2 linked regions of the Drosophila melanogaster genome follow. The protein of the gene in region 1 purifies or fractionates together with the protein of each later gene. This does not show direct contact. Each region holds a gene or a part of one and is shown on either strand. Other genes may lie near its edges.

Region 1 (3,929 bases):
TGCAAGGAAAGGCACTCGGGAAATGTGCACGGCGCCTGATGATGAAAGCTGTAGCAAATATTACAATAAATAAGTCGAGGAAATCAGCACAATCCGAGATGAAATCCAAATGTGCAACTCGATACCACCGGAAAATGAACGCATTGAATCGCTGCAAAATTCCCAGGTGATTGCGGCGGGCTGATTCGGTCAGAGCCACGATTTTGGCATTAAACGTTGAAGAGTTCATAAATATAGGCAGGCTATTTGGTCAGTACTCACCGGCTGGCTTGAGACCGAACTGGAACAGATTACCCACGAAGGGGTATGGCGTGGGTCCTGGGATCATCTCCATGATGCCAGCCATGTGGTCTATGTAGTTGAATATCCTCACTCCCTTGAACACCAAAATGGTGGCCAAAATAATGGCAATGGCTATTAGAAACATGATGCCGCCCAACTGTTCTCGCTCGCAATGCCGCACAGACTGTGGTTTGCCGTAACATTCGCAGATTAGTCGGTGACCAATTTTCGCCCGATTATGCCTTCGATAGCTTATCTGAACTTTATGCATTTTATTTTTTGTTTGTTGCTTGCAATCGATGTACTATTAACATAGTACTTTATTGCCGTCGGTAATTGATAAATATAACTATTGTGGACTACCTAGTGGGAATTGACTCACTAAACTGATGACGTGTAGGTCTAAAGGCCTTTTGGTATCGCCAGAAGATTTGGGGCCAATAAACGATTGTTAGTCGCTTCGTGATAATGAATTAGGGCGGTAGCCATAATTTTTGACACGCAATAATTATTAATAGGGACACTTTTGATTGAGGGATTAACAACGGCACGATAAGCTGTTTGTTCAACATAGTAAACACAAAATAGATAACTTTTGGAAAAGCAATCAAATTGAAAAGGTGTGTGGTAAAAAGATTGATATTAACAACTAAATACATATAAATTTAAAAAAAAATTTGATTGGTGTTTATATTTATATTTATACTTACCAGACGATCATGACTTTTCAATTTATTAATGCATTTAAAAAAATTTTAATATTAATAAGGAATTTTAATAGCTACACAGCATTGAATTTTAAAACGAATAAGTTTAAATAGTTTTTTTTTTTCAAAATAGGACAAAAAATTAAGAATTACCATATACATAAGTATAAACATTTCTTAAGTTCGTACAACTACAGAACTTATCATTTAATTGTGTATATATATATGTACATATAGCAGTCGCATTCGCACACACTCCTAGTGCGATTAGTCACTAGGTGGAATGCCGTCCAAAGTAATTTATTTGCTTTAGCAAATATAAATATAACATATATATATATAATGTAATTATACATAACAGCGTTTTCTTGAAAAATATATAGCATTGTGCTGATAACGGAAGAACAACGAACAGAATAATGCCGCTTTTTAACATTTTCTTCTCTTCCACTAGATTTATCTTCAAAGCTATTCATTTTGATGTAAATTCACAAATTAACTCGTTTCCGAAAGCATATTTTTACGAAAGAATGCATTTCCCATATGCTTTTATAATGCTTTTATCATACTACAAGTCATGATGCAGAGACAATGTAAAAAATTGGATTTCTTTTAAAACGTTTTTCGTGTTTGGCTTAAGTTCGAATTTTGCAGCGAGAATATAAAGTATATATATTCTTGATCAGTATCATGTTTTATTGACTGATATTATATCGATATAGCCATGTGCGTCTCTCAGTTCTAAAACTATCTCTATAAAACTCTTCCAAAAAGATTGCTTCTATTTACATATGTAACTCAAAACGTGACGGAGCGGAACAGAATAATCGAAAAATAAACGCACACTGTGCTGATATCATTTCTTAAATGTAAATGTAAATTTAAATTTGCAGTGGATTTTACCTTACGTCTGTGATTTCTACCAAATTTAAGTCTTGCTGCTGATAAGCTAAGAAGAGCAAGCGACTTTCTCTCTCTTCTCTTCAATTTCTGTAAGAGTAATCTTAAAAACATTTTGCAAACATAATGTGTTCATCAATTCTCCCGATTTCTCTTTCTTGTTGTGAGCGAATGTTTATCAACGTTTTGTTTTATTCCATTTTTTGCTGCCATAAAACAATATATACTGGATACAGTTTTAAAAAAAGTTAACTGTTACACATTTAAGCGCAGTCTCGAAAACTATTGGTTCTCCATCTCATCTAACGATTAATCAGGGGGCTCATCTTAAAAAACCTGATATTGATTCGGCAAGTCATGCTGAAAGCACCAAAATATATACTTATATTCGGGAGACTACAGTTGGATTAGGAAAACGGCAGATAAGGGAGCAAGCGACTGGGGAGCTGGCTGATATTGGTATCTCTCGTATTTAAACCGCCCGCCGGCCCAAATAAGCTCTCATATTTCCAGTGATTCGCGGGCTGGACGGTTGTCGTGGAACTCGCGATCGAAAATGTGGTTCGTGTTGTATATTTTTCTGGCCCTACCACTGCTGCTGGTTGCATATCTGGAGTTGAGCACATTCCGCCGGAGAAGAGTGCTTAACAAGTTCAACGGCCCCCGCGGCCTGCCGCTGATGGGAAACGCTCATCAAATGGGCAAGAATCCGTCAGGTGGGTTTTTCATAGGAGCCGGAAAAGTCGTAGCGTTAGCCACGCAGAGGACACACCTGAAATTACCCATCTCGAATAGCGTTGTGACTGAGGTAACTGCGCATCGAATCTACTCAGCGGCGAGGCTATTCAAGTAAGGTTATTTTGGGCCAGCGACTTTACGACCGGAAAACAAGGGTGTTAACTATCAGATAATGGGGCTACTGGCACTTGTAGAAATGGGCTAATCGTAGCCTAGGTCGAGTATCGCAAAAATAATGACGAGGCTTTGATTTGTGTTGTGTAATATACGATGTATGTATGTATGTATTATACTGCACTAATGAATACTGAAAATCGCGTGCCAAAAACAAGCAATGATTATCTACGGAATACCGATATTGGTACGCGATCCGCCTACTAATGGCATTTTCTCACGTCTATATAGAAATACTCGACACGGTTTTCTCCTGGTGGCATCAGTATGGAAAAGACAACTTCGTCTTTTGGATTGGAACGTATTCTAATGTATTGGTCACCAGCTCCAAGTACCTTGAAGTGAGTTACAGCGAATTTCCACCAATCATGTAATCATGTGACTCTATTATTTTCGTACTTCTTCAGTTCATACTCAGCAGTCAGACGCTGATCACAAAGTCCGACATTTATCAACTAACACACCCTTGGCTGGGATTAGGTCTCCTCACCAGTACTGGCAGCAAATGGCATAAACACCGCAAGATGATCACCCCAGCATTCCACTTCAACATCCTGCAGGACTTCCACGAGGTGATGAACGAGAACTCCACCAAGTTTATCAAGCACTTAAAGACAGTTGCTGCCGGGGACAATATATTCGACTTCCAAGAACAGGCCCACTATTTGACCCTGGATGTCATTTGCGACACAGCGATGGGTGTGTCCATCAATGCCATGGAAAACCGCAGCTCTTCCATTGTGCAGGCCTTCAAAGAGTTAGTTTCGTACCTCGTAGTCGAACTATCAGATTGCATGACTCTTGATCCTTTTCAGCATGTGCTACAACATCAACATGAGAGCCTTCCACCCGCTGAAGCGCAATGAACTGCTGTATCGTTTGGCTCCGGACTACCCGGCCTATAGCAGGACTCTAAAAACACTGCAGGACTTTACCAACGAGATCATCGCTAAGCGCATTGAAGCCCACAAATCGGGTGCAGTTTCGACCAACGCGGGAGATGAGTTCACTCGCAAGAAAATGGCCTTTTTAGACACTCTGCTGTCCTCCACTATTGATGGTCGTCCCCTGAACTCCAAGGAACTGTACGAAGAGGTCTCCACATTTATGTTTGAAGGACATGATACT
Region 2 (3,929 bases), on another chromosome or scaffold:
CAAGAAGGAGGATGTGCAGAGGGCGTGGCAGCAGGTTGCCAACGATATCAAGGACACGGGTAAAAAGGCGGTAAAAAATAAATCGGCAAAAGGCAACGGCGATTTTCCGCCTCAAGCTGCTGCTTCTTCCTCTTCTTCTTCTTCGCCGCCAATTGCGTGCTCATTTCACTGTCCGTGTGCGCGCGCGCCTGTGTGTGTGTGTGTGTGTCTGTGCGTGTGTGTGTCTATGATGCAAGCTTTCGCGAATTGGTGTGCGAAACGAATGCACTTGTTGTTGTTTTCCATTTGCCTGGCTTTGCATTGGTGTAGGTGTGTCACTGTGTCGCGCAGTTTTTGCCTGCAATTTGTTGCTGCTTTTGCGTTTCGCTTTTCGTTTACTGTTGCTGCACTCAGCCAAGGTGCACTGGAAAAAAACCAAGTACTATTCGTACAACTAAATTCCCATAATAAATTCAAAATAAATACAAAATAAAAGTATTTAAACTACAAAATATTCCATGTTACAAACAAGTATAAATCCAAGAATTGAGTTTGATGTGCAAATCAACTCAGTACTGTGGTTACCTTTTGGTGAACAAGTTTCAATTTGTACCGTAGAAATTTGTACTGTAAAAGATGTGTTTTGTTTCTCCTGCAGTTCGCAACTGTCGCGAGCGATGGCGCACCATAAGGAGCAGCTTCCTGCGATCCCTGAAGCTGGCACGCACACAAACGGGACGCGGCAAGCGCAAATACTACCTATCGAAGTATCTTCAGTTTCTCGTTCCGTTCACCAAGTCGCGATCCTGCCACAAGCAGCTGCCGGGCATGGTGCTCCGCAAACCCGGCCAAGCTGCCACTGCTCAGCAGGAAGATGAGGTGGTGGCGGCGGAGGAGGAGGCCAAGGTGAGCGATGGTGAGATGCCGCTGGACGTTCAGGTGTCCGAGGAGGAGCATCGTCGTAATCAGGAACAGGATCGGGAGCAACCCACCGCCTGTTTGCCGCTCCGCCTGCATTCCATCAAAGTGGAGCACGATTCGTCAAATGCGAACCAGCAGCTGGAGCGGATGGTGAGCCAGCAGTCGCTGGTCTCGGTGCCCGCCGCCGCGCTGGGCAATCACCTGGGCTGGTCGGATCTGACGCAGTGGTTCAAGGGACATGGCAGCGGTCATCACAAGTTAACCACAACAACAACAACACCAACATCACCACCACCGCCGCCGCAGCCGGCTACGTCAGCTCTAAGTGTTTTCACTGGCGGACCAGGAGGAGGTGGCTCACAACCGGATGCCGACTACTCCTTTCTGATCAGCCTGCATCCGTACATCAAGGAGATGAACGGCAAGCAGAATCGAAAGTTTCGACAGAAGGTCGTCGGACTCATCGACGATATTCTGGATAACAAGGATGTCTAATTTGTACACGGAAAAAAAACCGAAGATGCTTACGTTTCAGCGATGAAAATTACGATTTGTAAACGGCTCTATCAAAATTACCACACACAAGAGATGCATATTTTGAATGATTGTGCGGAAATATTCTACATACCAAATGCAACATTATTTCAAAACCAACATTTTCACCACTTTCAGATTTCATTCTGGCCATCATATTGCTAACTTTTAGACAATGAACTTAGTTTTTAAATATTTATGTCTAAGTTAAGTGTGAACGTACATGAAATTTATATCGAAGTTTATATGCACTGCATCGAAATTTGTAAAGCGCCCAGTGGAACAGGATGAAATCACCAGTTATGTGATATTTTCTCTCCGTGAAGAAAAAAAGCCACAAGAATCGAAGAAAACACACCCAGTTGATAGAAAACGCCAACAGTGCCCATTTATTAGATGTGTAGAGCGTACTTTAATTACGCTTTTTATTGTTGTTGTTAAGCACACACACAAACACGAATTTGTTATTGTCGAATAAAACATTTAAACTACGAACATTTTATTTTACTTCAGACGGAACAGAAACAAAATTTGCGTATATATGTCGCATTTGCTGGCGATATGCGAAATTGCGGATTAAAATCAAAACGAAACTTTCAAAATTATTTAATGTATAAATTTCTAGCTTTTTTTTTGAATTTCTAGCTAGCCAACCGCCTTAATCGAGTGCAATCGATAGATTCAGCGCACAGCTGATGCACCGATAGTACGCAAAGCTTCCTGGCTTTGTTGTTGTTGTTGTCGCCGTTCGCTTGTTGTTGCACTAAAAAGACGAAAAAAGGAAGGAAAATCACTGGCGCGGAATAACAATTAACAAAATGGAATAATTGCATTGCTGTCGCCGTAACTCATCAGTTAAATGTGCGCCAGTAAACAGTCGATGCAGCAACGAAACACATGAGCTATTGGGTGAGCTATGCGCGTGTGTGCGTGCGCCATGTGTTTGGCCTGCATGCGTGTGTGTGCGTGTGCGTGTGAGGGCCTGAGGTTTTGGCTTTATATCACTTTTTTTTTGTTTTTGCTGACTTTTCCGATACGAAAGTGATGTAATTTTTGGCTGGCCACAAATAAGCCAACTCACTCGCACGTCAACCGCCGAAGCATTTACCACGCTCATCGCACAGTTAAAGTTTGTTTATGGGCCTAGAAAATTACATAAAGTAAATACTTACACACACACACACACACGCAAAAAAAAGATATTTTTCGGCGAAAGTTTTTTTTATGTTTTATTTATTGAGTGCTAATAGTTGCTCTTTTGACTTTAACAGCGTGTGACGTCATCGTTTTTGCTAGCCAGGGCACGGCCACGCCTCCCACAAACATTACGCCCACTGAGCACCATGAACGAATGCCGGAAGAACATCACAAACATCACAAACATTACAGCGAACAACAGCATTCTATGCGCAAAGAGCATTAGCAAAAAGCATTTGTTTCTAGAGAAACGGAGCATGTCGGATCGTTCGGAGAACTCCAAGGATGTGGCAAAGGGACAGGATATATCAAATCCAATGGAACTAACAGCCGAGGATCGACTGGCCATTGAGGAGCGGCAAAATAAAGCGTTCGCCTTCTTCGCCGAAACCCTGCAAATCTACGGCGTCGAGGAGCTAATTTTCTGTTTCAACGGCGGCAAGGATTGCACCGTGCTGCTCGATCTCCTTATGCGTTACCTGCGCCAGGAGAACATCTCCAGCGGCGACATTCCCATGCTGTACATTAAATCCGGCGATTCGTTTCCGGAAATCGATGAGTTCGTCGAGCGTTGCGTACGCAACTACCGCGTCCAGTTGGTTCAGTACGAGGGTACGCTCAAGGAGGCACTCACCCACATGTCGTCGGACATGCCGCGGATCAAGGCCGTCTTCGTGGGCAGCCGCAACACGGATCCCTACTGCCAGCATCTGGCGCCCATGCAGGTGAAGCTGGTTAGGAATATAGCAATCAGGAGATAAATCATATTTAAATGTTTTGCACTGAAATGCTCAGGAGTTCGTAGGTTCAAGTGTGAAGAAAAGTTTCTTTCTCAAGAGTAGTAGATTGATTATAAAGCCAAGTTATCAAAGTCACAGCCTTAGTATCAAAATTATGCCATTGTTAATCTAGAAAAGTATGTGCCCTTTGCCAATATCACAGTGACAGTGGCATTTTCGAATGTCATGATTCCATTCCGCAGATAAGCGAGTTCTGTGGTTCACCACCTAACATAGAATTTATTCGAGTATTTTACAAAACCAAATGTATCCCGCTTATTTGAAAATCTCACAAGATCACAAAGATAATAATGAAGCTAGCTTGAAATAGTTTTGGAAAGTTCGAAACTGCTGTTTCCTATTAGGAAACCCCAAGTGCCTAGTGATGCTAATTTCGATTTTTTTTTTAGCCCACGGACAACGACTGGCCGCCGATGATGCGCCTGAATCCGCTGCTGGAGTGGAGCTACCACGACGTCTGGCACTACATCCACTTGAACTCGGTGCCCTATTGCAGCC

Evidence for each region.
Region 2: the proteins of Cyp4e2 (region 1) and Flad1 purify together in Drosophila melanogaster (affinity purification with mass spectrometry, with the first as the bait; one large-scale study listed by BioGRID). This does not show direct contact.

What each region holds. Positions count from the first base shown.
Region 1 is NT_033778.4:8,442,326-8,446,254, forward strand, and holds the start of Cyp4e2 (cytochrome P450 4e2), read left to right. Parts: upstream 1-2,234; 5' UTR 2,235-2,348; intron 2,349-2,385; exon of another isoform or gene 2,386-2,402; 5' UTR 2,403-2,445; coding exon 2,446-2,605; intron 2,606-2,656; exon of another isoform or gene 2,657-2,756; intron 2,757-3,032; coding exon 3,033-3,142; intron 3,143-3,208; coding exon 3,209-3,558; intron 3,559-3,616; coding exon 3,617-3,929. Other genes in the region: Cyp4ad1 (cytochrome P450 4ad1), read right to left, coding at 262-427. UniProt on the Drosophila melanogaster protein: May be involved in the metabolism of insect hormones and in the breakdown of synthetic insecticides.
Region 2 is NC_004354.4:12,901,743-12,905,671, reverse strand, and holds the start of Flad1 (flavin adenine dinucleotide synthetase 1), read left to right. Parts: upstream 1-2,155; 5' UTR 2,156-2,331; coding exon 2,332-2,343; intron 2,344-2,509; exon of another isoform or gene 2,510-2,594; intron 2,595-2,705; coding exon 2,706-3,356; intron 3,357-3,820; coding exon 3,821-3,929. Other genes in the region: CG4404 (uncharacterized protein), read left to right, coding at 1-59, 638-1,395.